5 linked regions of the Mus musculus genome follow. The protein of the gene in region 4 purifies or fractionates together with the protein of the main gene of each other region. This does not show direct contact. Links are inferred from orthologs where the notes say so. Each region holds a gene or a part of one and is shown on either strand. Other genes may lie near its edges.

The links.
Region 1: the proteins of Utrn (region 4) and Sntb1 purify together in Homo sapiens (affinity purification with mass spectrometry; 3 studies listed by BioGRID and IntAct, with this or other methods). This does not show direct contact. The link is inferred for Mus musculus from reciprocal best matches to the Homo sapiens genes UTRN and SNTB1.
Region 2: the proteins of Utrn (region 4) and Mark2 purify together in Homo sapiens (affinity purification with mass spectrometry; 4 studies listed by BioGRID and IntAct, with this or other methods). This does not show direct contact. The link is inferred for Mus musculus from reciprocal best matches to the Homo sapiens genes UTRN and MARK2.
Region 3: the proteins of Utrn (region 4) and Dtna purify together in Homo sapiens (affinity purification with mass spectrometry; 3 studies listed by BioGRID and IntAct, with this or other methods). This does not show direct contact. The link is inferred for Mus musculus from reciprocal best matches to the Homo sapiens genes UTRN and DTNA.
Region 5: the proteins of Utrn (region 4) and Dtnb purify together in Homo sapiens (affinity purification with mass spectrometry; 3 studies listed by BioGRID and IntAct, with this or other methods). This does not show direct contact. The link is inferred for Mus musculus from reciprocal best matches to the Homo sapiens genes UTRN and DTNB.

What each region holds. Positions count from the first base shown.
Region 1 is NC_000081.6:55,903,303-55,909,563, forward strand, and holds the start of Sntb1 (beta-1-syntrophin), read right to left. Parts: upstream 3,648-6,261; 5' UTR 3,290-3,647; coding exon 2,722-3,289; intron 1-2,721. UniProt on the Homo sapiens protein: Adapter protein that binds to and probably organizes the subcellular localization of a variety of membrane proteins. May link various receptors to the actin cytoskeleton and the dystrophin glycoprotein complex.
Region 2 is NC_000085.6:7,337,532-7,343,887, reverse strand, and holds the start of Mark2 (serine/threonine-protein kinase MARK2), read left to right. Parts: upstream 1-2,027; 5' UTR 2,028-2,666; coding exon 2,667-2,720; intron 2,721-6,356. UniProt on the Homo sapiens protein: Serine/threonine-protein kinase. Involved in cell polarity and microtubule dynamics regulation. Phosphorylates CRTC2/TORC2, DCX, HDAC7, KIF13B, MAP2, MAP4 and RAB11FIP2. Phosphorylates the microtubule-associated protein MAPT/TAU.
Region 3 is NC_000084.6:23,595,775-23,601,509, reverse strand, and holds part of Dtna (dystrobrevin alpha), read right to left. Parts: intron 4,077-5,735; coding exon 3,952-4,076; intron 1,108-3,951; coding exon of another isoform or gene 1,099-1,107; intron 1-1,098. UniProt on the Homo sapiens protein: May be involved in the formation and stability of synapses as well as being involved in the clustering of nicotinic acetylcholine receptors.
Region 4 is NC_000076.6:12,661,607-12,667,341, reverse strand, and holds part of Utrn (utrophin), read left to right. Parts: intron 1-505; coding exon 506-643; intron 644-2,203; coding exon 2,204-2,395; intron 2,396-3,803; coding exon 3,804-3,976; intron 3,977-5,735.
Region 5 is NC_000078.6:3,570,044-3,576,512, forward strand, and holds the start of Dtnb (dystrobrevin beta), read left to right. Parts: upstream 1-2,347; 5' UTR 2,348-2,604; exon of another isoform or gene 2,605-2,866; intron 2,867-2,940; exon of another isoform or gene 2,941-3,189; intron 3,190-6,469.

The sequences.
Region 1 (6,261 bases), on a different chromosome or scaffold from region 4:
AGAATGTGCAAATCATTAGGCAACATCTCTAGCTAGGTGAGGGTGTAAAGGTGAGAAGATGTGGTGAGAAGGCAGGATACTGTTTGAAGTCATACCTTCCTTCATAGCATCACTAACTAGCAGACAATAATTGAAAAGTTGGGCTAGGGATGCCCAGGTCTCCTCCAGATGTCCTTACTGCAAAGCATGATGCAGTGTTCTTTAGAATGTCTCTAGAGAGCTTTTTACAGAACTCATTTTCTGGTCACTCTTTAAGAAGTACATGACCCTTTCTCTCTCTCTCTCTCTCTCACACACACACACACACAAATACACACACATACACACATATATACACACATATATACACACACATACACATACATACATACATACACACACACATATATACATACACACATACACATACATATACATACACACATATACATACATACATGCTCTCTCACACACACACATATATGCATACACATACATACACACATATACACACATACATACATATACATACACACATATACATATATATATACATACACATGTATACATACACACATATACACACATATACTCATACATATACATACATATACATACACACATATACACATACACATATATACACATACATACATATACATATGTATATACACACACACATATATATATACACATACACACATACACACATATACACATACATACATACCATACATATACATATGTATACACACACACACACACACACATATATATATATATATATACATACATACACACACACATATATATATATATACACATACACACATACACACATATACACATACATACATACCATACATATACATATGTATACACACACATATATATATACATACATACACACACACACACACACACACACTCCTTTTTCTAAGATCATTTTCAACTCCAGGTTGTTTCTTAATGTCCTTGGCAAGTTATTATTCATTAAATTCATGAAATATTCAGAGACAGGAAGAAGGGATGTAGTAAAGGACATGCCTGAAGTAAAATATGATTATTTGTCACCCCTTCCATCTGCATTTTCAGTATTGATTACAAACTGAGCAGGCACCCAGAAGTTTATAGTCCAAGCTACACTCTCACAAGATCCCACCTGTCCCTTGTCACCCAAACCAACACATTCTTGATCAAGAATTTTTCTCCTCTTTACTTATGTTAATCATCAAGCCAAACCAAATAGCCTTCTAGGTTCTGGATTCGGGGGCAGTGAATTAAATATGAAGACATCACAAATCTTCTAGACAAATCAAAATAAAATAAAATTAAAAAAAAGAAAAGCCCCTTTGTGTTCCAGGTTAGGAGGCAGACACATATTGCCAGTAGTTTTCATCTGCTGTCACATGCCAAGCAAGTTGGCTTCCCAGAGTCACACATCAGCACGACAGTTGGGTGAACAGGGAACTGATTACATTTTAGTTTAAGGGCTTAAGTCAATCACCACCACGTTATAAAGTCTAGGTTGGAATAGTGTCTCAGTAGCTGAGTTAATTTACTCCCTCAACCTGCATGCATGTCACTGAGGGATACAAGCTCCGGAGAGCCCCCTATCCAAATAAAGGATCTCTGAACAACTCAATCTGTAGTTAGGAAGAAGCTGAGAAAAATCGATGAAATTATCACGCAGTGTGAGTGCCAGCCAAAGTGTGTACTAAGAGTTACAAAGACAGAAAACCAGAGCTGGGGCAAAGGAAACGCTCAGAGTCCCCCACCCCCACCCCCATATTGCCACATCCAAACTGGTACTTCCTAGTCTATACCCATTGGATGATTATAGAGTTGAAGACACCAGATTTTCAGAGAGCGTTTCGAAAGTTCTTCATATTCATGGGCAGGGAAATCTGTTTACAAATGCAGAGTGGATTTCACACTTCTCCAGGAGACACCAGCAGAAAAAAGAAAACACTTCACCAGCTCTCCACCCAGGGGAACCTGGAATCCGGACTGACCGGCTGAACACCCTGCAGTGGAAGTGAACTTGTGCCTACATTGGCAACATCTTTCCCAGCCTTTGGCACTACTCAAAGCTGCACAGCCTCATGGACTCTCTCTGGTGCTGGAGGGAAGGGAAGCAGGAACGGGTGGCTGAGTTTTAGCATTCAAATACTGCCACCTCTCTCTGGCTTTTATTTTTATTTATTTATTTATTTGTTTATTTATTTATTTATTTATTTATTACCTCTCAGGTCTTCACAGCTGGATTGCCTAGGCTGTGAAAATTTTTGCCAAAGTAGAAAAGTACTAGAGCTGCCTAGAGTCAGTGGCCCTGCTTTACAATGTGGGCAGATGCAAATTCCGTCCACTCTCCATTTCCCGGTCCATTTCCCAGACTCCAAATTACATTTGGATTGTCCGCAGATAAAAATATGAAACCACGTGTACCGATAAGTATGAAACTTCCGACACCAGTGCACTAAAGCACTTCATCCAAGCCAGGAAAACCCAGGCACTCCAGTGTTTTAGTACAGCGCCCTGGGTCAGGGCCAAAGTGAAGATGAGTTTGCCCCCAGGTAGTAAAAGTTGTCAAAAAAGAAAGTCGTGCCACTGCTTTTGCAAAACACAGGCACTGTGGGGTTCTAGGGCTTTGGGGCAAGTGGCTGGTGAGTGTGAGTGTGCTGACGCGCAGAAGAGTAAGTGGAACTGCGGGATAAGGCCGGCGCAGGGTTAACCCCTTACCTTCCAGCAGCACTTCCTTGCCTGCGCGCTTCAATGCCTGCACTGCCTCGTCGTGGGTGGCGTCCCGCAGGTCTGCTCCGTTCACCGACAGGATGGCATCGCCCACATACAGGGCTTGGGTCTGATCCGCTGCCAGCCCCTTGAAGATCTTGCTGATGAGTATGGGCATCTTGTTTTCCTTGCCCCCTTTGATGCTAATGCCCAGCCCGCCCAGCTCCTGCTTCAGCACCTTCACGCCCCTCTTCTGGTTTGAGATGGACTCAGGTACCTGCTCCGGGAGGTCGGTGAAGGCGGTGCGGACCCCGGCGGGAGAGTCCGGGGCTTGAGCGACACCGGGGACCGGGTGCCCGGTCCCGGAGCCCCTGCAGAACGAACCATTGGTGGCAGCCCCTATGCCGTTGTACGCCGCAGCGCCCTCCTCGCAGCTCAACACCAGGGCGTCCTCGCTCAAGTTCACCAGAACTTTATGCCAGCGATCCCGCACCAAAACTTCCAGCAGTCCGCTCCGCTGCGCCCGGGCGCCTCCACCGCCAGCCGGCGCAGCCACAGCCGCTGCCGCTACCGCCATCTTTCCAGCATTCTTAAAATGCCATGTGATTGCAAACGGGGGAAAAGTAGAGAAGGGGTGAGGATGGGAGGACTCAGGGTAACCGAGGCACGGAAGAAGCAGATGCCTGGCAGCGCGCGCTCAGACCCCGGACTCCACTCCCCGTGTTCGCGGCTGCGCCGGGCGCCAGTTGCAGCGGCGGAGCTTGTTCCCCCTCGCCTGATCCTGGGCGGGGTGGAGCAACCTAAAAGAAGACGGAGAGCCCTCGACAGGGGAGGAGGGAAAAAAGCCAGCTGCCAGTTGCAAAACCCCAAACCGAGAGGAGCCTAGGAGCTGCGGAGCGGCCAAGTGCTGTAGAGAATCGGTAGGAGGAGGCAAGGGCGGGGACCCGGAGCCCCAGCCGCTCACCTGTTCGCCACTGCAGCGTCACACTCCCACGTCGCGCTGGCTCAGACCCGGGTGCCTCAGTTCTCAGCCGCACCTTGCCGCAGCTCCCCCAAACCTACCGGGTCACAAACCACTACCCCAACCCCGCCGCCACCCCCTTTTCTTCTCAACCCTCTATTTTCGACGGGTTTCCACACTCACCTTTAGTAGGTGCGCTCACTCTATCCTCTTGAGTCAACTCCCCTCTCTCCTCCCGCAGGTGTTTGAAGATCCAAGTCTTCCTCAAACCAGACCTTCGCTGCCTCAACTCAGTCTCCCTCCACCCCCATCCCAGGACTCTGGGAAGGAAACTACAGAGAGAGAGAGAGAGAGAGAGAGAGAGAGAGAGAGAGAGAGAGAGAGGAGGGAGAGGGAGAGGGAGAGGGAGAGGGAGAGGGAGAGAGAGAGAGAGAGAGAGAGAGAGAGAGAGAGAGAGAGAGAGAGATCCTAGGCTGTGCCAGAAGTCAGGGGAAAACTGTCACAAGAACATAGAATGAAGCCTCATCAAGCCACGTACTCCTATCCTCTAAGTCAATGCAAGGCATCTTTTGGGGGAGTTTGAAGACAAGAGGGCTTTCTTTCAGTACCTACCCTGAATTTCAACGGGGCACTGTCTGCCTCATCTTCAGGACACAGTGTCTAACTCAGTGTCTGCTCTTTGCATTGCTCCATACTTCCCCCAACCCCATCCCCGTGCCAGCCCAAACGCTTCTCAGGGCTCCCTCCTTTGTTCTTAGATTCCATATAGGAAATGTCTTCTTTAAAAGCTAAGAATAGGTTTGTTCTCCAAGTTCCCTGAAAACTGCTTGTTTGGCTCTTAAGCTGCTCTGTCCCAAGGTGATGGCATTGTAACTCTTGGTTCCGTTCCTAGGCCAATCAGGAAATGCCACCTTAACTGTAACCCAAGCCATGGCTGAACATCCCAGAGTTCTGCTAAGCAGGTCCCACACAGTTCACTTAAACTGTGTTAAGACTTACTGGTCTTCCTGCTGTGCCCTCTCCTTTCTCCAGATGACAAAATAAAAAGCAGAATCTGTTAATTCTGGAAGGTGAAGCTCCTGATAAGATGCCAGTAGGAAGAGGGTCTTCTGTAACATGCATGTCATCACCCCACTGTGATGGGTATTTGCAGCAAACAGCTCTAGTTCTTTCCAGACTTACTTAATCAAGGATACTTAAAAACTCTCAGGAATCCCCGTGAAGTCCCTGACAGGGATTACAGAACTCAATGAAAATACTTGAGACTTTCTTGAGAAACTGAAGTCACTACAGCTCACACAGGGTGTGCCACTGTCCTGCTCCTGTAAGTTTTAACTTTCTATACTTCAAAAAAAAAAAAATCTTCATTTTTTTTTTCATGTAAACCTGCCCACAACAGGGACAGGAGCCCAGGAAGTTCTTCAGTCCTTCCTGTTGGACTGGGTTAGCCAGGGAACTAACACAGCTGGCACCACTGTTGGAAAGAAACCTGAGAGAGAGAGAGAGAGAGACAGAGAGAGAGAGAGACAGAGAGACACAGAGAGAGACAGAGAGAGAGAGAGACAGAGAAAAACAGAGAGAAACAGAGACAGAGACAGATGGAGAGAGACAGAGAGCAACAGAGAGAGAGAGAGACATACACAGAAACAGACACACACAGAGACAGAGACACACAGAGACAGAGACACACATACACACACAAACACACACAGAGACACAGAAACACACACAGAAACAGACAGAGACACAGTCACACACAGAAACACAGAGAGACAGAGACACACATACACACACACACAGGAGAGAGAGAGGGAGAGAGAGAGAGAGAGAGAGAGAGAGAGAGAGTCGGGAGGGGGGAGCTGGCCTTTGGTTTAGAGGCTGAGGTTTCAGGCCCTTCATCACTAAGTGTTTGCTTTTGAAATATAAATCACTAGCGTTGGCATTGCTACCAGGATGCCAATGTGAAGATGAAAAAATCAAAGCTAACCTGTCCCTGGACCAGAAACCCCCAGCCAGCATCCTAATGCTTTGCCTCTGTGGCTCTGCAGTAGATGCATGCCAGACACACCCACAAAGTAATTGATCTATTAGGCATTAGAAATGGCAGGCTCTGGGATGGGCTTTTCCACGAATCTCTGTGCTAAGCACATTTTCTTCTGTGTATGCACACCTCTATGGAAAGAAAATAGATTCCTGGTTGAAAGTTACATCAGAATGAAAGGAGACCAAAGTTGACTATCAGGAGGCCAGAGGCATGCATGTGGTGTTGCTAGTTGGATTGTAATTACAGTCCCTGCCCTAAGTACTCTCCACATGTTAACCCAATCCTCTAGGCAATACTTGAGGGCCAATTCTGTAATGGCCACTCCCATTTACTGTTGAAGAAGTGGAGGCTCAGGTTTAATACCTGGCACATGTAATTAGTAAATAGCAGCACGAACTTGAAACTTAACCATTGTCTTACCTCTGTTAAAAATACAGCTTAGCAACCATAGCCCCAGTGCTCATCTGAACGCAGAGTCCTTTCTAGGGACAAATCTCTGGTGAAGGCCCAGCCCTTCATTAGAAGATAGAAACATTTCCTTCTG
Region 2 (6,356 bases), on a different chromosome or scaffold from region 4:
GCCAACCCCCTTTGCTTCTCTCTAGTGCTAAGATTACAGGGGCAGACCACCATACCCAGCTGGAGGAATCCTTTTTGGTTGTCTGTTTTATTTTATTTTATTTTTCGTTCTAGAGATTGACCCCAGGGCCTCCTTCATGGCATGGGAGTTAAAGCTCTCCCACTATCCTACAACCCCAGGAATCCTTATCGTCAACAAGTGCCTATTCTTTTGCCATGAGTTTGTCTTAGAAGGGAGATTTGAAATGAAAATGAAAATGAAAATGAAATGGTCTCTCCAAGCCGGGCGTAGTGGCGCACGCCTTTAATCCCAGCACTTGGGGGGCAGAGGCAGGCGGATTTCTGAGTTCAAGGCCAGCCTGGTCTACAAAGTGAGCTCTAGGACAGCCAGGGCTACACAGAGAAACCCTGTTTCAAAAAACCAAAAAAAAAAAAAAGAGATGGTCTCTCCAGACTTAAACATTGTAGAATATTTTAAAAGTCATTTAGGGCTGGGCATGGCAGTGCACACTTGCAATCAAAGTGGTGAGGAAATGAAGGCCGGGGATCAGTAGTTCAACCATCCTTGGTTACATATCATGGCCAGCCTGGGCTACTTAATACCCTGTTTCCAAAAAAAGCAAAAACAAAAGAACAACAAAAACTTGGATGGACAGGGTGGTTGGTGCACACCTTTAATCCCAGCCCTTGGGAAGCAGAGGCAGCTCCAGGAGTTCTTGGTCAGTCTGGTCTACAGTGGGAAACTGTGTCATAGAATCGAAACTAACAGCAGAAAGGAAATGTTATGTGTAATTTAAAGAAATATTTATTTGTATGTGCCTATGTTTGTGCTTTTATGGGTTTATGTGTATCACTGGCATGCGGGTGCTGGTAGAGGCCAGAGGGCATCATTTCCCCTGGAATTGAAGTTACAAGGGGTAGGGAGCCATCTGATGTGGATGCTGGGACCTGACCAGATTCTCTGGAAAATAGTACAGGCTCTGAATGAGCCAGCATTCTGACCTATGTTGTAGTATTTATCTATTTAACTTTTGTGTATATGAGTGTTTAGCCTGTATGTACGTCTGTGCAACCTAGTGGAAGCCAGAAGGTGTCAAACCACCTAGAACTAGTTAGACAGTTGTTAACCACCATATGGGTGCTGGGTACTAAACCTCAGTCCTCTGGGAGAGCAACCAGTCCTTCCTCTTGACTTCTGAACCATCTCTCCAACTCATTTTATATATATACATATACATACATATGTATATATATTATACACACACACATATATACATATATAATTACATTTTTATTTAGTGTATAGGGTAGCATGCTCATGGAACAATGTTTTAGACTTGGTTCTCCCCTTTCACTATGTGGATCCCCATGGATCAAACTGAGTTATTTTGCTGGCCTTTGTTATGTGATTCCATGCCAAGATCACGCAAGCATTTTTCTCAATACTGAAAAAAATACTGTACCTTAAAGGTGTGTTAAGTTTCAAGGACGCTGACCCAGTGCCTGTCCGACCTGGTGTCTGTCCCAGGCTTTACAGAGGAATGAGGGGACTGACTCAATATAAGGCTGACATAGACTTCTAGAAGCCAAGATAGTCGCAAGATGGGCGGGTGTGCAAAGCAGGAGACAGGCAATAGGATGACACTACACTTGGCAGTTGACTCACACGTTGATAGCAAGGTTGAGCGATAAAGTGGGTTTTATGAGCTAAACATGCGGATGGGAAGTTGGCGTTAGGCTCAAAGGACATCAGTTGTAGGAACAGCTAATAGCGGTATTTTCTAAGTCAAACAACAGGTACAGGTGACCCACGCCTGTTCAAGGTTTGAAAATAACCGAAAACTGACGGAAAGAAACGAAGAGATAGATTCTTAGCCTCGGCAGCTCTCGGGTGTTGCCGGAAATGGCTGACTACCGCTCTCGGCCGAGCGACGGAACGGGGGCGTGGCCGGTTTAGCACACGCGGAGCCTCTTCGGCTGTTTCCGGAAACTGCCGAAAGCTTGCTCCAAGTGGGCGGAGAAAGGCCGGTAGGCGTGGCTGCTGGTTGGCTCTGGAGGTGCGGGGAGTCTCTTCGTGGATTTCCGTAAACAGAGCCGAACCTCGGTCTTCGGAATCTAGGAGGTGCGCGCGTCCCCGGGGATTACCTTCTTCGGTAGTTTCCGGAATTCACCCATCGTCTGGGCCGAGAGGAAAAGGCTCTTCCCCCTCCCGTTCCTAGTTGTTTCGGATGTTTCCGGCTCTTGCCGGCGGAAAGAGCCGAGGGCTGGCGGTGGTGGCGGCCATGTTGGGAGCAGCAGGTCCGGCGGCGGCTGCCTGTGTGTCGGGCGCGGAGCAGTGCGGCTGAGGGCAGGGGAGGAGCGAGGCAGGCGGCCGGCTGCGGCGGTTGAGAGTAGGCGGAGCGGCGCGGCCGGGCCGAAAGGCGGCACAACCCAGCCGGGGGTCGGGGGGGGGGGTGCGGTCCGGAGCCGCTCGGAGCCGGCGAGGCCTAGCCCGAGCGGTGCATCACCGGGCTGGCGTGAGCCATCGCCCGGCCTCCCCGCACCCCCGGCCGGGGCCCATGCAGCGGGTGCTCCTGCTGTGAGAAGCCCCGCCCGGCCGGGCTCCTAGCCTTCCCTTCCCTATCTTCCTCCAAGCTTCTCCATTCCCTCCCCTGAGATACCGGCGCCATGTCCAGCGCTCGGACCCCCCTACCCACGCTGAACGAAAGGGACACGGAGCAGGTAAGGAGCCCTCAGGGCTCCCCTAATTCTGTGACTGGGCCCCTGCACCTTACGGAGGCTCCCTCCCTCAGTTCTCCTCGTGCTCCTGCTTTCTTCTACAAGCCTAGGCTGTCATCTGGCCCTGGGTTCCAGCCCTTCACATCCCTCTTCCGAATCCTGACCTGGGACCCACGTCGTCCTGACTGAACTGCACACTTGTATTTCTGCCAAACGCCCCTCGCCTCTCACCGCCCTCCTGCGCTCTTCCGTGCTATCTCCCCAGCTTCCCCCTCTCTTCCCTTTTCTCTCAGGGGCCTTTCTGGTCTTCCTCCACCCACGCTTAAAGCAGCCACCTTCCTGCTCCTCGAATAATACCCCGCGATTTGCCGCGGATTGTTGCCCACCTCTTTCTGCATCTCTCTAGCTTTGTACCCTCTCTACCCGCACCGGCTCTCACAATCCTCGGTTTTCTCCCTCAAGAGTCCGTGTCTCGGGAGTGTGTTCTCGGTCCCTTTCCCCTTTCACTTCCCCAGCTTTTTCTATCCTCCTTTCCCGTTCCAAATTGGGCTCTCCCTGTTGCTTGCAACCCACCAGCTCCACCCTCGTCACCTTTCCAAATCGTTCGCCTACTCCTTGCTCATCACTTTCCCTTCTTTTCGGCAGGAGCTCCCAGGCTCCTGGCACTGGCATGTGTCGCTTCCGTGTTTCCCATACAGCTGTCATGCGCATAGTTTTCCCACAGGTTGCCTTTGGGGTTCCAGTCACCGCTCCCTTCAGAGTCTTTGGATCACTCCTGTTCTCTTCCCCCTGGGGTTTGGCATTTAAGTCCTTGGGCCTCCTGTCTGAATGCTCTTCCAGATTATCCCTGGGCTCTCCTCTACCGTGGGAAAGTCAGTGTTTTAGTCTGGCTGTATTAACATAACCTGTTGCTCACTCTTTTGCGGGCTGCATCAGCTGCATCAGTCCCTACTTTACTGCCTACTTACACTGCAACACAAATTCCGATACTGTCTTTCCAAACTGGTGGCTGTCACTTCTCATAGTATCATAGTATCTTTCTTGTTTGCTACTTCCTATTGCTCAACCTTCCCCCATCTCTCTTACAATACCTCCTTAATCAGTGCTGCCTTTCCTGTCCTAATGGGTCTCCTCCTCCCCTCCCAGTCTGTTTACAGCTTGTATGCTCTGTCCATTCCCTTTCTCTTAGCTAGCCTTTGCGGGTCCCAGGGTGTATGCTAACTGCTTATGCTGCGCACCAGCTCCTGGGCTGGCCTATGCTCTCCCTTTCTCATCCTGGCAATCACTGCTTTTTGTCACCCAAGCTTTTGCCTTTTCTGTGTCGTCCTCTCACCTATGAGCCATTGCTTCCACTTCACACTTCTCTCCTTTGTTTCACTGTCTCTAGTGTCCCTCTCTGCCTGCCTTTTGGACAGTCCCTTGCCTGTCACATGTTTCTGGGTGAATTTTACTAAACACAAACTCGTTGGAAAGGAGCAGGCTTTACTCAGCACACCCTGGTGTTTCCCTCCTGTTCCCTGTTTTCTCTGTAGCCAGGTAGGCTCGCGATGCTGCTGTGTTTGCTTAGCATCAACTTCCTTCTTTGAGAACCCTCTTTATCTCTTTCCTGTGCTTTGCTGCTGTTACTCTCCTGCTGTCTGTACCTGGAGCTAAAGAAGCATCCGGACAGTTTTCTGACACGATGGACCCATAACACATAGGGGCTGTGTGCTCTTGGGCCAGAGCAGGGGGTTGAGAGGGAGGGATGGTTGATTGATTTCATGCCTGGTCTGGCAGCTAGTCCTGCCTGGGACAGAGATCTTCAGAAACTGAGGAGCTTGGTCTGTGTTGCACAGTCCCTTGCTTGCCAGCAGTGTCTCTTGGGAAACACTTTGTCCAGGCTCTTCTGAGGCTGGTCCGTGCATCCTCCTTTCTCCTACTTCTCGCAGTAGCTAGACCTCAGTTAACTGGAGAACTTTCCCAGACTTGGTTATGAGCAGGGAGAAGGAGGCCAAGTGACTGACTGGTACTTTCAGGCATGTGGGGCGTGGTTGACCTGCCTGTTCCCCAGAGAGGCAGGCTGTGGAGGCACCGTGTTGGGCAGAGTGGCCTCGGTGTGGTTTCTTTGACTGTTTACTAAGTGTAAATGCACTATTGGTCTTCTGTGTGCTCAGATGTGCTCCACACAGTATTGGGTCATGAAGTTGAGGTTTGATGCATGTACACTGATTTCAGGAGAGTGGTAATCAGTGGCCAGTTTGGCACGTGAGCTGCTTCGTGATAACTTGGTCCAGAGCAGAGGCTGCCTTGTCATTCTGCTCCTCTTAGGCTCCATTTCTGTTCTTGGTGGACCGAGCTGCATGCAGTCAGTTCCTGATTCTCCACTCACACTGTCAGCTTCATGTTCTGCCACCGCCTTCGAAAAAACTTGGACTTGGAAAAGCTAGGTGCACACCCTTCCAGGTGCCTAGCTGTTTCTCTTTGTTTCTTGTGCTGCTGATTTGCTCAGAGCCTTGTTCTTGATAGACACGTTATACTCCCCAGCCCAACCCTGTGTGCTTTAGAAACAAAAACAAAAAGCAAGAGTCAGTTCAACATCCACCTTCTTCAGAGTAGACCCGGCTACCAGGTTGAAACTAAATACCTTCTCCTCAGTCCCATTGCACATAGTGAAGCCATTGTGGAAGCTCAGTCATTGCAGTCACCTCAGTGTTAGGAAATAAAAAGCAAAGAATTTGGCTGGGCAGGTCCCTCTCCACCGTCACCTTATTTAGATTTAAATTAGTTAAGCTGGTTTTACCAGAGAATAAGTAAGCAAACTTCTGTGGATGTTTCCAATCTCTTCCTTTTCTCCTTCTTTCTTTAAAATTGTGGCTGATAAGCTGTTTCTAGGAGCTCTTTGATCACTTCTGAAACACACAGAACATGTTGAAGCATAAAAATAAACCTTATGTTGCAGAAGATTGCCTGTTTGCTGTCAACTCTGCTTTTAACAGTGAAAGTAGATAAAAGAAAGCCAAGCTCTGTCTTGAAGATAATTTTGGTGACACCTGATTTCAGATGTGCACTATCACCAGAGATGACTTCCTTTTGCAGGATTCTGACCTGGGGCTAGTGGTTTTGGGGTTTCTAAAGTCTGTGAGCTGAGCTTTCTGTGAGCTGCTTTTCCAAATGCCTCTGCTGGCCTGGAGGCTTCGCAGCCTTGAAAGTAATCAGCAAGATGACTGTTTGTCTTCCAGCCAGCAGCAGCCTTAACAGTCAAGTGTGGAGAAGGGTACAACTTCCAGAGTTCACCTACCCCAGGCTAGCGCTTTCCCTAATTTCTGGGGGAGGGGACACATAGCTTCATAACCTGGAAACAGAGTATCTGATAGAAAACAGGAGCCTTTTGCTTCCCATCAGTCAAATGACAGTTCTGCCCCCAACTCTTCTAGAGAGTGGGTGGCAGAATATATTCTCAAAGAGGAGTCTGGAAGATTGAAGAAGAGGACAAATCTAAGTTATAGAATCCTATAAAAACATACTGCTCAGGGCTGACAAAATGGCTTAATGGGTAAGGGCACTTGCCACAAAGCCTGATGACCTGAGCTGGATCCCTGAGACTCACATACTTGGTGGAAAAGCTGAACCTCACTCTGGCAAAATACTAACAAACACACA
Region 3 (5,735 bases), on a different chromosome or scaffold from region 4:
CTAAATTGACAGTATAGAATATTTTGGAGATGAGACATTAGTTGCAGTAGTCTAAAGAGTTGATTTGCAGTTAGCTAATGTAAATGCATACATTAACCCAAATTAGTTTTGGATTTTTGCCTTTAGCAGCAAAGAGTAGACTTGTTCATCCTGTCTGATGTGATATACTGAAGATTTGAAAATCAGCACTGGCTGTGAAAATTCACTGAAGCTTCTTCTTGGTATCTGGAGCCATACTACATTCTAAAAGTTTGTGTGGCACATTGCTTCTTGTATGAAGTCATACATCATATTTAATATGCCACTCTGGATATATCAACCAGGGTTCAGCAAACAATCTCAGAGTTTTGGATTACTCACCCAGGATGCATCTTTGTAACAAGGGAACAACATAAGAGTGCTTTAATGTGAATAACTTAATTTTACAGGAGGGACGATCATTGCATTTAATGTCCTCTATAATTAGGAAGGCACATTAGATTTAAAACAGCAGTCAGGGTGAATGATGTACACTGCAGCTTTGCAAAAAGTTAAAATTGACCCCACAGTTCTTGCTTTACTTTGACAAAAGGAAAAAAAAAGAACTTTTCCCATTTTTGTTTTATATCTAGGAGATGGAAGGCAAATGGATTGAGAACGCCTTTCAACTAGCCTGGCTGATTTTCTTTTCTGAAACTGGTCACCACAAAACTAAAATTGGAGCTTCTTAGCAAATTGTTTCCGATTAAGAGGTACCAATCAATGCATTGAACTTGGAGCAAAATATGGAAGATTTGAGAGTAAGTAAAGTTCCTGCCTCCCTCTATCACTTTCCTTAGTACCACATGGGAGATGGTAAAGTGTTAATAAAATGAAACAACCCCACATGAACAATGGCTCTCAGAGGCAACATGCAAAGATTTTTTTTCCTGTATGAATCTTAACAGAGAACGTATAAAAACCTATCATTGACTTTCTCCTCATAGGTACAAAGGTTAAGCTGAAGGCAAGATTAGCTACCAAGTAGCCTTATGTGGTCCACTCATTTTCAGTCTCGTAACTACTTACCATTGGGATTGCTAATTTATGTAAGTATGTGTGGGGGTGTTCATCACTTACCAAGTATCACTTTTGGCAGCAAGGAAGTGGAACAGAAGAGATACTGTTAATCACGACAACATTTACGAGTACAGGATAGTTAAGCACACAGGCTGAAATACCAAAATGCCACTGCCTGCTCATCTCCACTTAAGAGCTAACTCATAACTGACAGTGTCATTTCTCTACACGTACATAAAATCCCCCGACTCTTGAAGGCAAGAGCATTTCTCTTTAATGTTTCATTTCTATATGCAAGTATGATTGTGCCTGTACTTGAGTTAGCAGTACCACAACCTAATTTGTTGTTGTTCTTTCTTGAGACAGGGTCTCACTATGTAACCCCAGCTAGACTGGAACTTGCTACATAGTCCAGGCTGACCTCAAACTCATAGAGATCTACCAGCCTCTGCCTCCTGTGTGCTACCCCACCTGGCTGTTTAAATGCTCCATTGACCCAATCTCTCTTTACTCTAAAGCTTCTTGAGAAATGTTTAGTTAGTTACACAGCCATATCACCCTCATATTTTTTTGCCATTTTTCCATAGCAGGAAGTTGGACCTTTAAATAGCCTTAATGAAAATATTTTCTAATTAATTTGCTCTGTATGTCTAAGCATAAGCCATGAGTTTTTGCCTCACTTTATACTTGCAGACCTTATAATGACTTCTCTTTGCTCATGACTGGATACAACTTTTAGGAAAGTAACACCAGGTTTTAACACAAGCATGGCAAGATGTGCCCTGAAGAGGACAGTATTACATTCCAAACACGTGGGCTTGCTAGCACAGACATGTTCCACAGCACACAAGTGCGTGCAATTAGCTTCTCATAAATATTCACTGCTGTGATTTTTTTCCTAAATAGTAACTTTGAAAATTTGATAGTAATTTATAAATTAATATACTTTTCAAACTAAAAAAATTAACGAATGCTTTATTTTGCGTTTGTGCCGTAATTCTCAATTCTTCAACCTCTAGGACACTCAGTGCACTCACACAACAACTAGTAACACTCCTAATCCATACTTGCTGCCTCCTACCTGCCTCTGCCTGTGAGCTTATTATGTGCATCGGTGGTGCACTGGAATATTTATATATTGGCAAATGTATGTAAACACATGTCCAAACACTGAAAAGATGAGGTTTGTACCACAGTTAATAAAATAATTTTAAAATTTCTTCAGTATGTTTTTTTCCAGAGAATAAAAAGTAACAACAAAGATCATCCATGCTCCTTATGTTTTTGTTCTATGGCCATAGTCCTCCTTCTGCTTTTTAAAAAGATATTTTATTAATAATTTTTATTTTGTAGGCATGGGTGTTTGCCTACATGTATGTAAGTGTCCACATGCATTCTTGGTGCCCGGGTTAGCCTGAAGTGGTAATTGTGTGTCCCCTGGAGTTGAGTTATCTACGGACAGTTGTGAGCTGCTGGGTATGTACTGGAGCGAAACTTGGTCCTCTTAGGGCAGTCAGTTCTCTTAACTGCTGTGTCACCTCTCCAGCCTTGGAGTTTTCTGTTTTAAGTCACATTCGGAAATAACACATCGAGAGCATTAAGTGTGCAGGGAGGTAATAGTGTCCCCTATTTATTAAAGTGTTCATTCTCTTACTTTCATTGTATAGTGCTTGATAAAAGACTTGTGATGAAAGAACCTGCTACTAAATGTCATATATTTTATAAAGCACATTAAAATAATATACAGACACATATATACACATACACACATATACACACATACACATAATATACATACACACAAATACACACATGAATATACACAAAACCACACATGTACACATACACACATTTACATACATACATATTCATACACATACACACTAATACACACAAACCTACACATATACACATACATGTACACACATACACACACAGATGTAAATACATACACATACACGCTAATATACACATACATATAAAGACATACACATATGTACACATACATACACATACATATACACACTAATACACACATGCATATACACATACATATCAATACACATATATGTATACACACAGACACACAGACACATACAGACACACAGACACACACAGAGTCCCAAGTGCTGACTGTACTAGGCCCTGGGCTGGGAAAGTTTGAGGGGACTCCTGTGACTCACCCCTCTGTGGCAGCACCCTCCTCACTCTGCTCTACTGCAGTAGTGATTGGAAAGTGAGTCTCAGCAGAATTCACACAGCATACACTTGCTTGACCTTGTACTCTATCCTGGGCAACTTGAATTTTGTGCCTCTTTGGTGATGCCAAGGGCAAGTGTAGACTTTAGCTAACAACTCCTGTGTGGTATCACTATAAGCAGTTGTGCCCCTGGGATACTACCCTGATGATGTACTTCTGGTTTACTTATCAGAGCATGGTTTGAAAAACAAAGAAGTTAAAAAGTAAGTTAACCACATTCTATAGAGTGGCTTACATATTGGTTTTGTGGGTGTTTGGCCTATATCAGCACTATCTTGCTTTTATACTTAGAGATATTTAAGCTTACGAGTGTGTGTGTGTGTGCGCGTGCGCGTGTCCCCCCCCCCCCCGCCTCTGTGTGCACATGTGTGTATGGGATGAAACTAGAAGGGGAGTTATTTGGGGTGAAGGGGACCAGCAAGAAGGGAAAGAGGTATAGAGGAAGGTCAAGGGGGTTGGATATGAACAAACAGTAATGATATAAATGTGAGGTTTACAATGAACCTCATTTCTTTATATGCTAACTACAAAAAACGTAAAAGAGTAAATAAAACTTGGTCCCTGACAAATTATGTGAACTTGTCTTGGTAGGAAGGCTCCAGACATGTGTAAGTGAAGGACATCACATCTTAGTCTGTGCCAGAGATACTCACACGATGTGAGCCAAGTTGAGTGGCTTTTCAGGCTGGTCTGGGAACATGGGGTGCAAAGGTTCACGGCTTGAAGCACAGCTCAGGGACTTGCTTAATGCATTCGTTAGCTTCTTAGCAGGTGATTTCTAGAAAGAGAATAATAACAACCTTGATTATATACTTTAACAGATAACTTTAAATTGTTTACTAATAGCTGCATATTTATTTGCTCATTTCTTGATCCATTTCATTTATTGATAACTCTGTTTTGAGCACCTGCCTTCCAAGTCAGGAAGTTTGTGAGAGGCTGTGACTGCATGCTGGAAAAAGCCACCAGGGTACCCATCCCTTGCTGCAGAGTCCCCGCAAATGCTATGCTGAATGGAAGCACTCATTGTGTGGGGAAATGTGTTGAGGTTTAGGGGACCACTAGAACTTTCTGGAACAATCTCAAGGGATAAGAGGAATGAGCTGAGAATCCATTTGAGAGAAGGAAGGTAGGAGGCAACCAAATTGGGTAGATAGATGTTTGTGCATGTCTCCTCAGGAAGTCACACAGCATTTGTGTATGTAAAAATAGTTATTGGGCTGGAAAGATGGCTCAGAGTTTAAGAGTACTGACTGCTCTTCCAGAGGTCCTGAGTTTAATTCCCAGCAACCACATGGTGGCTCACAACCATCTGTAATGGGATCTGATGCCCTCTTCTGGTGTGTCTGAAGACAGCTAGAGTGTACTCATATAAATGAAATAAATAAATCTTTCTAAAAAAATTATCAAGTTACTCTTTACACAAAGCCTCCATGTAACTTATACAACTTTGCATTCTTGTGATTGAACCAATTTAAGTACTTCAGTTGTCCTGGCAGATGGGACAGCTAACAGCAGCTAATCCAGGCTCTAAGAAATAACTGTAGGAGACAGCATGAGACGTGAACTTGGCATTTAATTGAGGTAGATGACAAAACGGTGAGCCATACAAACAGTAAGTGACTCCTCTGCAGAGCAAGCCCCATGGACTACTGTCACATGAGCGCACGCAGGTCACTTTGCCAAGTCAACTACTCACACTATGAAAAGATGGTTTTAAAACTACAAATTTCCCTTGCCACTCCCTGAAAAAAAATCTGAAACTGAACCAGGTGTGGTTGAGCATAATTGTCATAATCCTGTCTAGTACTACACTAGAAAAAAATTAGGAATCTTAGAAAAAAAGTAGAGTATTTAAAAAAAAAAACAATATACATAGAAACAAAACGAAGTGAAACATAGCAAAATGTGGACTTTACAGTAAAGTAAGCTGGATGCAGGACTGCCTGCCTCTCTGTTTGTTAGGTCAGCTCTGACCTGCCTATTATATCCTGAGAAGAATCAAAGTTTGGTTCTTCCAGTATTTTAAGTCTCAGGAAGTCACACTAAACTCAGATACAAACAGTAAGAGGTCCCAGTAGGATAAAGAATGGCAGGCAAGGGGAAGGAACATTGGAGTAGAAGTTAAGTTTGCCCTCATTATCTGCCTTTTTTTGTCAACTTGACACAAGTCAGGGTCATCTGGGAAGAGGGAAGCACAACTGAGAAACTGCCCCATCAGATCATCCTATTGATAAGTCTGCAGGCCTTTCCTTGATTGGTGATTGATGTGGAAGGGTCCAGTCCCCTGTGGAGCATGCCATCCTGGTCCTGGGTGCTATAAAATAACAGGTTGAGCAGGCCATGAGAGCAAGCCAAACCTTAAGAGCAAGGTTCTTCCATGGCCTCTGCTTCAGTTCCTGCCTCTAGGTTCCTACCAGAGTTCCTGTCCTGACGT
Region 4 (5,735 bases):
AGTTCACATACAACGCTCATCTAACCCCAACATTGGGAGGCAGATGCAGGAGGAATCCCAGTTCCTGATCTTCTCTAGCGATAGAGCAAGTATGAGGATAGCCTGGGCTACAAGAAACAAACAAACAAACAAACAAACAAACAAACAAACAAACAAGCAAACACTAATGGTGGTGGTGATGATGATGATGATGAAGAGCAACAGGAGAAAGAGGAAGGGCAGGAGGAGAAGAAGGAGAGGAAACAGTGGTAGTAGCAGCTCCACCCCCTCCTTCCTGACTAGCTGTAATCATTAGCTACGTTTTGATAAATTAGCTTTGGGATATTTGATTTTCCAATATAAAGTATTTGAAGAAAATCAAGAGCAGTTGTGTCATTCAGGCCGATGTGGCTTGACCCACACTGCCCTGTCTGTCTCAGCATAGTTCTTAACACTGAACAATGGAGAGTACGAAGTTTGTCTGTGTATTTTTGTTTTCAGTAATTTTCTTTCTTTAAATATTTAGATGGATGAGGAGCAAGCCCAGATTGAGGAAGTTCTACAAAGAGGGGAGCATTTGTTACATGAACCTATGGAGGACAGTAAGAAAGAAAAGATCCGCTTGCAGTTGTTACTTTTGCATACTCGTTACAACAAAATTAAGGTAGGTTGCTGTGGTCTCCGCAGCAAAGAAATAACTTACCCAGTTGTACCATCCAGGCTGGGGATGTAATATTTAAAGACACAAGCAATATTCAAGCAAATCACCTAGGGAAATTATATATTTCCCCCTCACTGTCTTTTTAAGTTTAAGTAATTACTGCTTATTTTTTGGAGTTAGGATTGGATCCTATTCCTGGTGTATATTATAGGTTATTTGGGAATTTCCCATCATGCACTCTGATCACACGCACTTCCCAGTCCTCCCATGTCTGCTCCCTTAAATGTAAAAAAAAAAAACAAACCAAAAACCAAAACAAAGACAAGGGGAGGAAGTGGGGGGGGGGAGAGAGGAAGAGAGGAAGAGAGGGGAGGGAAGGGGAGGAAAAAGACCCTCAGACCATTTTGTGTTAAACTTACTTGTGCATGGTCTAGTCCCAATGAGAAAGGGAAACTGAGTCCTTCCCCACCCTTGCCAGAAGCCATCAGTTGTGGAGAGCTACATTTCAGCATCCTTATCACAGCTTTCAAAACTTCTCTTTGATGGCTACCTTCTTAGGCTATTAATTTTTTAGGGGTAGGGTGGAGGTAGGGGTTGTCCCAGAAGCCTCGGTGTTCCTCTTTTTCAACTGTGCATCTGCAGACATTGAAAATACGGCAAGAGTAATATCCTTGTGGTGTTTTAAGTGATGCTGTTCCCCAGAGCTCTATTTTTTGGTAGTTCTTCCTGAAATGAGTTTTATTTGATCACTTCGGAATCTGAGTGGAGTCCTGTGCCTTGGCTTGCTGTCTACCAGCTGTCTCTGACTGCACGTGCCTTGTTGTACGATCCAATGGAAGTTGCCATTGGTGTCGTCCACTTTCCCCATTTCCCTTCTTAGTCTATCCTCTTAAAAAAATAGCCCGTCTGTGTAGATGGAGGAAACTTCATTACCATCCTCACCTATTTTCCTGTTCATTACAGGAAGCAGGACTTACAACGATTAGGCTTTGGACTGAGGATAGTGGTCTGGGAAGTGTGTGTCTCACACGTATGAGGACCTGAGCTGTCTTAGTTCAGTCTCCAGTCTCAGTTTATGTAAAAATGTTAAGCATGGTGGCACAGTGCTGTGATCCCAGTGCTGGAGTGGCAGACAGGAGGATCCCAGGGCTCTGTAGACCAAGCAGTCTCACCTAATTGGTGAGCTCTAGCCATGAGACCAATGAAAGACCCTTCCTCAGTGGGTGGGTGGTGGTCCTGAGGTTGCCTTTTGGCATGAAAGTGGCAGACTGCTGATGAAAGCTGAGGCAGCTTGTGGAGTTTCTGTAGCAATGAAGGTTAAAAGAAGAAAACTTATATTGAATGTTATTTTTATTAGCATTTATTAATTGTGTGATAATGGTTTCATTGTGACATTTTGTGCATGTACATAGTGTGTTTTGATCATAATCACCTGACTTGTGTTTCTTACAACTTTGGTTGACATTCTGGGATTCTTCAACCCCCCCACCCCCAATTTGTTGTTACTTTCATGGGGGGGGGTTAACATACCTGCATTAATATTTTTTTTGAATCTTTTAATAGACAATCCCTATCCAGCAGAGAAAAACAATTCCAGTTTCTTCTGGAATTACATCATCAGCCCTCCCTGCAGATTATTTGGTTGAAATTAATAAAATTTTACTCACTCTGGATGACATTGAATTATCACTTAATATGCCGGAGCTAAACACCACTGTCTACAAAGACTTCTCTTTCCAGGAAGACTCTCTGAAGGTAAAAATCCAAGTGCGGAATGTCCGTTGCCATTGTTAATAGAAAAAGTACAGAAACAAGGCCAATCTCCGGCTCTTCCTGTTTTGCCTTTTCCCTCCCCCTCTCTCCCTCCTCCCCTCCCTCCCTCTCTTCTTTCCTCCTACCCTCTCTCCTTCCCTCCCTCTTTCTCTCTTTCCTCCTCCGTTTTAACCTTTTCCCTCCTTCCCTCCCTTCTTTTCTTTTTTCCTTTCCCCTCATCTTTTTAAAGACAGGGCTTCCTTAGATAGTCCAGGCTAATTGGATGCTCACCCTCCTTTTCTTGCCTGTGGAGAGCTGAGATTACAGGCATGATTGCCGTGCTCAGATGGAAGTTGCTCTTGTACTTATTTAGATAATCCAAATCTTTGATTACTCCAAATTAGCAACAACAGTGTATAAATAGTGAGATTTTACTGTATTCCCTGGTAGGATGCAGCATTTTTTTTTTTCAATTTAAAAAGCATCTAGGTCTGGACTCTTATGAATGCACATTTATTTGCAACAGCAGAGATCTAATTTTAATCTGATGTAAACTCGATTGTCATTTGTGTCAAATGATGTCAGGTCATCCATATTGATTCGAGATTGGCTAGTTGCCCCGTTGTGGAATTGCGTATTGATTGCAAGTTAACATTTTGAGTTCTTTGAAAGTTTTTTCCCATGTATTTGATTGTACTTCTATATAAAGATGTCGTATTATTTCTGATAGATTCAATAATTTATTTTCTCATTTAAGCTACAGTGATTAGGCATTTAAAACTATAATTCTAGAAGTGTCTCCTTTTTTTTTTTTTCACCTACATAGTATGTTAGTAAAGCTACCTTTCCTGTATCCTGCCTTGAAGCCGGTCAGGACATCTAGGAGGGTGCCTTCCCATTCGCCATTGTGATGGTATTCCTCACATTTTGGTGACTCTGAGATTTTTATATAGAAAAGTCCATAAGAAAACCAACAGCGGCAACTAACCTGGACCCTTGGGGGCTCCCAGAGACCGAACCATCAAACAAAGAGCAAGCACAGGCTGGACCTACCCCCCACCCCCAAATGTTACAGATGTGCAGCTTGGTTTGACAATTGTCTGACCTCAGTGGGAGAAGATGCACCTAGTCCTGCAGTGACTTGATGTACCAGGGTGGGGGGATACCCAGGTGGGGCATCCCCCTTCTCAGAAAAGAATGGGAGTGGGATTGAGGAAAGTAGCCATGCAAGGGTCACCAGGAGGAGGGGTGAATGCAATTAGGATGTAAAGTGAAGAAATAAATTGAAAAAAATAGAATCCCCTCATTTGCACACAGAACAGTAATTAGCCCCACTATTACTTTAAATGAGTGTCATACATGTAACTCTTTATCTGTGGTTCTGGTGTTTTGTACAATGATGCGTTTGCAGAGTATCAAAGGTCAACTGGACAGACTTGGAGAGCAGATTGCAGTTGTTCACGAGAAGCAGCCGGATGTCATCGTGGAAGCCTCTGGCCCTGAGGCCATTCAGATCAGGGACATGCTCGCTCAGCTGAATGCAAAATGGGACCGAGTGAATAGAGTGTACAGTGATCGGAGAGGGTAGGTGTGAACTAAGTGAATAGTTATCTCTAAGTCACACGAGTACCAGGCCATGCAGCGTTGACAGAGTCCAAGTGTGCATTAGGATCATGGAAACCATTTTTCATGTATTTCTAATATGACATGATTAATAAATAGAGATGAGCTTCATTCCTTAAAGAGAAATGTGTCCACAGGCACACAGCCATTAAGCACATAATACCTTAATGATATGGGGGCACCTTTAGTTTTTAGCTTAAAAATAATTCTCCCTTTTAATTAGAAAGGATTTTATTAATGTTCCTTTCTCCCACACGGCATGATTAATGTGAATGAGGAACAGAAGCAGCTTCAGGTAATTGGAATTCATATATAACCACAGGCCCGTTCTTCCCGGTTTTTCTGCTCTATAACCTTCTGCTTCATAGGATGTTTCGGAGTTTTTTTTTTTTTTTTTCCTGTTGTTTTTAGACTTCGAACAGGGACCTGTGAATAGGAGTAAAGAAAAATGAGTGTGATCCCCCCCCCCCCCCCAGTAGCTGTGAATGTAGTTAAATGCAAATACAACATGAAATAGCCCAACAACAACAACAACAAAAATAACATGTAATGGAGAATTTACTATAGAGCAATACATTGCAAGTATTCAGATACGAAAGCAAGGAATCATATGGTTAAAATTTTTTTAATTCATGTGACTGTTTAATCAGTGAAGAAGTATGCCTTAATGATCTTTGTTGCTATGTAAATTTATAATATGGTCTCTTTGTGTAGTTAGTGAACATTCTTTTGTACATTTATATATATGTGTGTGTATATGTGTGTGTGTGTGTATTTTTGTTGTTGTTGTTTGTTTGTTTGTTAGAACTGGTATAGTAGTTACTTTCTTCATTGGTGACACAAATGTTGATCAAAGCACCTTAAAAAGGAAGGGTTGTTTTGGTTTATGGTTTCAGGACACACACTTCGCATAACAGGCAAGACATGATCACAGGAGAAGGAGGTTGGCTGGTCACATTTCATCAGCAATCAGGAAGTGTAGAGAGAACAGAAAGTAGGATAAAATAAAACCTGAAAGCCTCCACCAAGCTATGTGCTTCTTCCAGTGAGGCTCTGTCTTCTAAAGATTCTCCAAACAGCGCCACCTGCTGGTGACTATGTGTTCTAACACACGAGCCTATGGGTGACATTTCACATTCAAATCACAGCACTTGGTTATTACATGAAGACAATTAAAAAAGCAAGATGTTGAAACTCGATTTGTATTATAACATGAACTTGGCTACTGTACCCTGCCAGGGATATTTATAAACTCACCCTTCCTTTAGAAGCCTGGCTATTATTGGCAGGAATATTTCTCCAATATTACAGTGATAGCTTCATTGTTGTCTTTCTTTACTGTGCTCTCAATGGGACTTGAAGTTTCTTTGTGCCCAGTAATGGCTCATCTTTGAAACCAAGGGAGTAATACTTACTGTTTAAAATTGTTTTTCTAACTGGAAGATATTATTTATGTATATTTTTGTTTATTTGTGAGTATTTACAGCCTTTTGTATGTCACTCAAAATGGCCTGTACCCTTTGACGTAGAGCCAACTTAGTTTTATGAAATTATATCTTATAGTTGTTTCCTTTATGATTGTATACAGTTAACAAAACTTACATATCCATTCCTTACATTTGCTGTGTCTGAGGAAATAATAATGTATGGTTTGGAAACAATCTTAGTTGCTTGGTTTTGATTTTGGTATGACCTCTGTTCAGGGCCCAGCTCAGGAGCC
Region 5 (6,469 bases), on a different chromosome or scaffold from region 4:
TGTGTTTCATTTGGGGAACACTTGTCATTTCAGTGCTGCAGAGTCAGACAGAGATGGGTGGATCCTGGGGGTTGCTGTTGGGCTAGCCTAGCATACTCAAGAAGCCCCAGGCCAGTGAGGGAACTTGTCTTAAAAAAGCAACCAAGATGGATAGCTCCTGACATTGTCCTCTGGCTTCCACACACATGCCCACATATGTGCATAAGATACAGCACACACATATGTAGCTAACTATACACAGATCTGCACATATATCACAAAAATTATTTTAATTGTATATGTTTATGGGGTACCATAGGATAATCTGACATGTGAATATACAGTAGGTGGTGAACAATCAGGGTGGCTAATATTTATATCTTCTTAAAACATTTTCAAAATCTTTAATTAATGGAATAACTGTACATATTTATAAATGACCATGCATATTTCAATACATGTATGCAATATATGATGACAAGGTATGGTGTGCTGGCTATTTTTTTAAATTTTTTTTGTCAACTAGATACAAATTACAATCATTTGGGAAGAAACATTACTCAATTGAGTAATGTTTCCTTCAGATTGACATGCAGGAAGTCCGTAGGAAAAAAAAGTGTTTTGTTTTTCATTAATGATTGATGTAGGAGGGTTGAGCCTACTGTGGGTTGTGATGTCCTTGGGCAGATGGTCCTGAGTCACAGAAGAAATCTGACTGAGCTGGCTATGGAGTAAGCACGGTTCCTCCAGGGTCTCTGCTTCAGCTCCTGCCTCCAGGTTCTGAATGCTCCAGGTGTCTGAGGCACCGTGCTGGTTCCTGTAGCTTCAGTTTCATACTCTACCTCTTTGCAACAGAGTCAAGGTTTTTACCCATCAATGCCTTCCCCATAGTAGGAGCTCAACACATGGTAAGAAACTAAAGGTCTCTTGACATAGTCTGAGGATCCTTACATGGTTACAGCAGCCACCACCTAGCAACCAGTGAGACTCTTCCAAACATGCAAAACAGTCACACAATTCATGTGTGAAAAGTAATGTATCCCCTCTCACACAAAAAACCTCACTTACTCTAAGTTATCAGCACAGCACTGCCTTCACCATGGGAATTTAAAAATAGATTGTGAGAAGAGGAGGAAAAGGGTGTCCTAGAGGCAGGCTGCCAGTCTGATTGAAGCAGGTGGCATGATCTGCCTTTCCATAAGGTGCCAGAAGGCTTCAAAAAGCATCCCTAAAGCACACAGGCCTACTGCTGCTTTCCTTAACATGTGCACATCCACACGCACCAAAAGTCTAATGGATCATGCCGCTGTCTTAAAGTTGAGGGAAAACATTTATCTTTTGAGCCATTAAAAGAAGACTTTGATGTCCCTAGAGAGTTTGGAAAAGCTTCTATAAAAAATGGCAATATGAGGGGCTGGAGAGATAGCTAAGTAGTTAAGAGCACTTGCTATGTTATCAGAGGACCTGGGTTTGATTCCCCAGCATCCAGGTGTCATTTCACACTCTTCTGGCCTCGGGGTGGCACTCACAGGGTGCACACACATTGCAGCCCAAACACTCATACACATAAAATAAAGTCCTTTAAAAAAATGATATGAAGCGGGGGGGGGGGGGGGGGGTAGTGGCGCACGCCTTTAATCCCAGCACTAGGGAGGCAGAGTCAGGCGGATTTCTGAGTTCGAGGCCAGCCTGGTCTACAAAGTGAGTTCCAGGACAGTCAGGGCTACACAGAGAAACCCTGTCTCGAAAAACCAAAACCAAAAAAAAAAAAAAAAGAGTTGGTAATGAATAAATAAATAAATAGATGCTAGATAAATAAATGAAGCTTTGTCGCCCCTGCTCCGTTGCTCAAGCTGTTTAATGTCTAAATAGTCCCACTTTTAGGAACTACTGAACAACTAAGCGGAAAGTAATGTCTCTCCTTCATCCTCTCACCGCATCCGGCTGTGGCTTGGCTTTGCGCAGGGGACCAGACTCGGTCCTTCGCAAGGCTGCTCTTCTCCCTAAGTTATGCATTCTTGGGGACCAGGGGCCGTGACCCGGATCGTGTCCATCGGGCACCAGGCGCGGAGTCAGGGCTCAGCGAGCCTGCTGAGGCAATGTGGAAAGTCACTCGGGGGAGGACCCGCGCTCGAGGCAATGATTCACCGGGTGTTTCTTCGCATTCCTTAAGGTGCAGTCACGTCGGCGCAGCACGCAGCCGCCCGGCAGCTACCTGTGGAGTGGAAGGGCAAGTCCACCTCCACCTCCGCGGCCGGCGCACAGCAGAGGCCCGGAGGGGGCGCGCGAACCCGCGGGAGGGCACTCGGCCGCCTCCCCGCCCCCTCTCGCGGCGGAAGCCCCGCCCCTCCGCGCGCCCGCCCTCCGCGCGCACCCGCCCTCGCCCTCGCGCCCTCGCGCCCTCGCGCCGGGGGCGGGCTCGCTGCGCGTGCCGGGCGGGGAAGCGGCGCGAGCCGGCGCCGTTCCGTTCGCCGCGGGGGCGGCTCCGGGGCCTGAGTGGGCGCCGCCGCCTCAGTCGCTGCTTGCTGCTTCAGCCGCCTCAGCCGAGGGGGCCGGGTTGGAGGAGGCTGCGGCCGCCGGAGAGCCACGCGACGGCCCCTCAGCTCCGGCCGGGAAGCGAGCCAGGTGGGGAGTCCGCCGGGGCTGGAGGAGCGAGAAGGAGGGCTGCGGGGTGGCGGAGTGCGCGGCCCTGGAGCGGCGACCCTTGGGAGACAGCACGCCGGGCCGGGGAGGGCTCTCCGGTCACCCGCGCGCGCGGGGGCCCGCGGAGCGCAGAGCCGGGCTGCGCGCGCTGCTGATGCATCCTGAGCCCGGCTGGCGGGGAGGAGGCTCCGCGTTAGGTGCTGAAGGGGGCGAAGGCGGCAGGTCCTGGCAGAGGGCAGGTGAGGTAGGCAGGCCCTGGCAGAGGGAAGGGAATTCATTCCAGATCACCTCTCAGTGTCCCCCGAGGCTCCCGGTAGACGAACCTGTCCACCCAGGTCACCCCTGTTGGGCACAGTGTCCGGAGAAGAGGGAGGATGCAGCTGACGAATGCTTGCTGTTAAATTTCTGTGCCAGGCCTTAGGGAATCAGGGAGACCTTCCAGCATTCTCTGCAAGCGTTTATTGATTAGCTACGGAGCAGGAGAGAACCGCGGTCAGCGCCTGGGTCACGACTTTATCACTCTCAGCCATCTTTTGCTGTTGAAGTGCTGACAGTTCGGCTGTGAAAGTATGCACACAAAATGTAAAGTGCTCTATTTCATGTTTCCTGTTCTGTTCACTTCAGGTCCCTTTAGGATTTTCCCAGCCCTGGGAAACTGGAGCCGTAAGTTGCTTGGTTTGTGGAGAAAGTAAGATAGTTGAGGAAAGCTGGTGGGAACTATTGAGAAGAGATTTGAAGGATCTTACTGACATTTAAAAGAGGGGTGGGGAGGGGGAGAAGAAATCTGGAAGAAGAATCTTGCCTTCCCAGCTAGAATTAAGCTCCGTGCCTGTTTTCTGTTCAGTCCTCCGGATGTGGCCTGGATCCCAGCAGCCCTACAGTGGATGCCCACTGCAGAATGGATGGAGGAAGCAGGGGCTTGAGTGTCAGTCTCTGTAGAGTTAGGGATGATCGCTGGACTTCCTTTGGTCCTCGGATTCTCTTTTTGCCTCTTCAGGTAACCCAGGCACTGGTAGGTTAAAACAGTGGCTTAGGTGGCAGACTCCGGTGGCCTGTGGCCACTCTTCTTCATCCACGTGGTTCTTGCATGTTGTGCACCAGGAGCTTAATCTCTGGGTGGTGCTCTGGTCTTTTCTCTCTTTGGCTTTTTTCTGGTCGTTTGAGGAGGATGGGAGGGTGCTTTTGCTTAGAGAACACTTTATAATTTCTGTCCTGCCTCTCGGATCTTGGTTCTGAAGGGAGAGAATGCTTCTTTCTGTCTCTTTAGTTCTGTAAGGGCTGGACTTCTGTCCTCCACCTTGCCTGGACTCTCCAGTCCCAGGCTGCTGCTTCCTTTCCCTCGCTTGCAGTGCCTGTTGGATTACTTTGCTTGCCAAAGTAAAACTTGACCTTTTATGTGTTCTCTGAGGATTTTTAGCAGACTTAAGTGGAGCTACCTCTGAAGGGGTTGTGCAGTCAAGGTGGTGCTGGCAGAGTCTTTATGTTCACTGAATTTTGCCCAGGAGACAGAATTTCTACTTAAAGTATTAGCGTGCAGAGGATTTCCGTTTATCATTTATTTCATGTCTTGGATGTTAACATAACTGACTCCTCATATAAAAAATGAGAGCAATATTAATCCAGACTTGTCATTGCATGTATAATAAGCCTTCATTTATTTTATTTTAATTACTCTGTACTTCAGAGTATAATCATTAAGTTTCGATTAGGTTTTGTTTTAGGGTGCCTTGTTTCAGGCACTTCTAACATTTTATTTAGATATTTAATTTACATTTATTTGAAAATAAACCCTCTGTCCCCGGTTTTTTTTTTTTTAAATAGGCTCTTGCTGAATAGCTCCAGCTGGCTTGGTACTCGATATACTGTAGCCCAGGTTGTAAGCTGGCTTTGAACTTATGGCTATCCTTCTATTAGTCCCTTCTGTGAACCACCATACCTGATTAAAACAAACCTTTTCTTTCGTCTTTTGTCTTTTTCCTTTTTTTTTTTTTTTTGATAGGGTCTCTCTGTGTCATTCTGACTAACTTTGAACTTGTCTATCCTCCTATCTATGTGCCCTGGAATTACAGGTGTGCACTACTGTGCTGTCTTGATGTGTAGTTTACATAGGATGAGATGGGTAGATTTTGCATGTTGAGCTGGGTGTTTATAAAATGGTACATATTGTGGGTGTGGCGGCGCATGTCTTTCCATCTCAGCCCCTGGGAGGCAGAAGCGAGTTCATTACTTCACAGTGCCACCACTGCCTGGCTCTGAATGGTTTTTAATGGAACCCAGAGAATGCTTTTAGATTTGTTACAAGAAGATATCTAGGGCAGTGGTGGCACAAGCCTTTAATCCCAGTACTAGGGAGGCAGAGGCAGGTGAATTTCTGTGTTCGAGGCCAGCCTGGTCTACAAAGTGAGTTCCAGGACAGCCAGAGCTACACGGAAAAACCCTCAAAAGACAAAAAAAAAAAAAGTTTATTTTCTCTGGCACTTCTTTTAATCTGAAAGAGAAAAGAATAAGAATTGGAGGGCTGGAGAGATGGCTCAGTGGTTAAGAGCACTGACTGCTCTTCTGAAGGCCGTGAGTTCAAATCACAGCAACCACATGGTAGCTTACAACCATCCATAATGACATCTGATGCCTTCTGGTGTGTCTGAAGACAGCTACAGTGTATTTACATAAAATAATAAATCTTTAAAAAAAAAAGAATAAGAATTGGAGGAAGGGTATTTGAGGATTTTCCTGAAATGAGCAAGGGAGTTAGGTTTGTTTTTGTTTTTAATTAAAGGTGTAATTGACTGTATTAGTCACGGAAGTCTGATTGATTTTTCAGGAGACTGTGTATTTGCACATGGCTTTCCAGAGTGCTTTGTGTGCCTGTGTCTCTGCTTGTGTGTGCTAGTGCATGTGGAGGCGAGAGGACAACCTGGGATGTTGTTCCTGGGGCACCACACACCTTGGTTTCTGAGCTAGCTTCTCTTACTGGCTTCAGGTTGGCAGATTTGGCTGGTCTGCCTGGCTTGAGAGCACTGAAGAACTACCTGTCTCTGCCTTCTCAGGGCTGAGAGTATAACAGTTTGTCACCAAGCCTGGGTTATTAATTTACTTATCTCTTTGCTTATGTATGTGTGGTGTGTATGTTTATATGTGGAAGCCAGAGACCGATGTGTGGTGTCTTCCTTGAGTTCTTCTCTGCCTTACTGCAAGCAGGTCTCTCACCTGAATCCAGAGTTTGCTGATTTAGCTAACCTGTAAGGGCCATTTCAAATATCCAAATCCCAATTCTCACACTGTATGACCACTGCTTTACCCTACTGCACTTTCTCCATCCAGCCCCAAGCATTTTTAAAAAACATGGTTCGTGAATTCAGATCTTGGTGTCCGCAAGGCAAGTGCTGAGCCAGCTTCCTAGCCCATACCTGAATGCTTTGATGTGACTGATGGCTCTTTTCACACTTACTGCGAGTGCTCAGATGCTCTGTCTCTCGCTCTGCTCTAGTCTGCGTGCTGTGGTAGTTACTCTGCCTCTGCTTGCAGACCATGTCCAGCTCTGTAGCACAGTGCTTTCCCAGGACAGGACAGACAGGAGGATTCTTGTTGTCCTCTCCCCCACATCTCATCGAGGGCATCACTGTTTTGGGAATTTCCTTACTTTTTCATTTATTCCTGCTTGCTTTGCAAAGGTGGAGAGGGAAGGCTTACAGCCACATCATTGACTACCTAAAGTAACTGCTTCATAATCTTAGGTCTTAATCTCCCCAGCTAGTTATAACACCCACAGTCCTGACTTGCTCCTAAGGCCTGTTTTGCACAGGCCTGATTTCTTCTAGGTTTTTTTGGTTTTTTTGTTTGTTTGTTT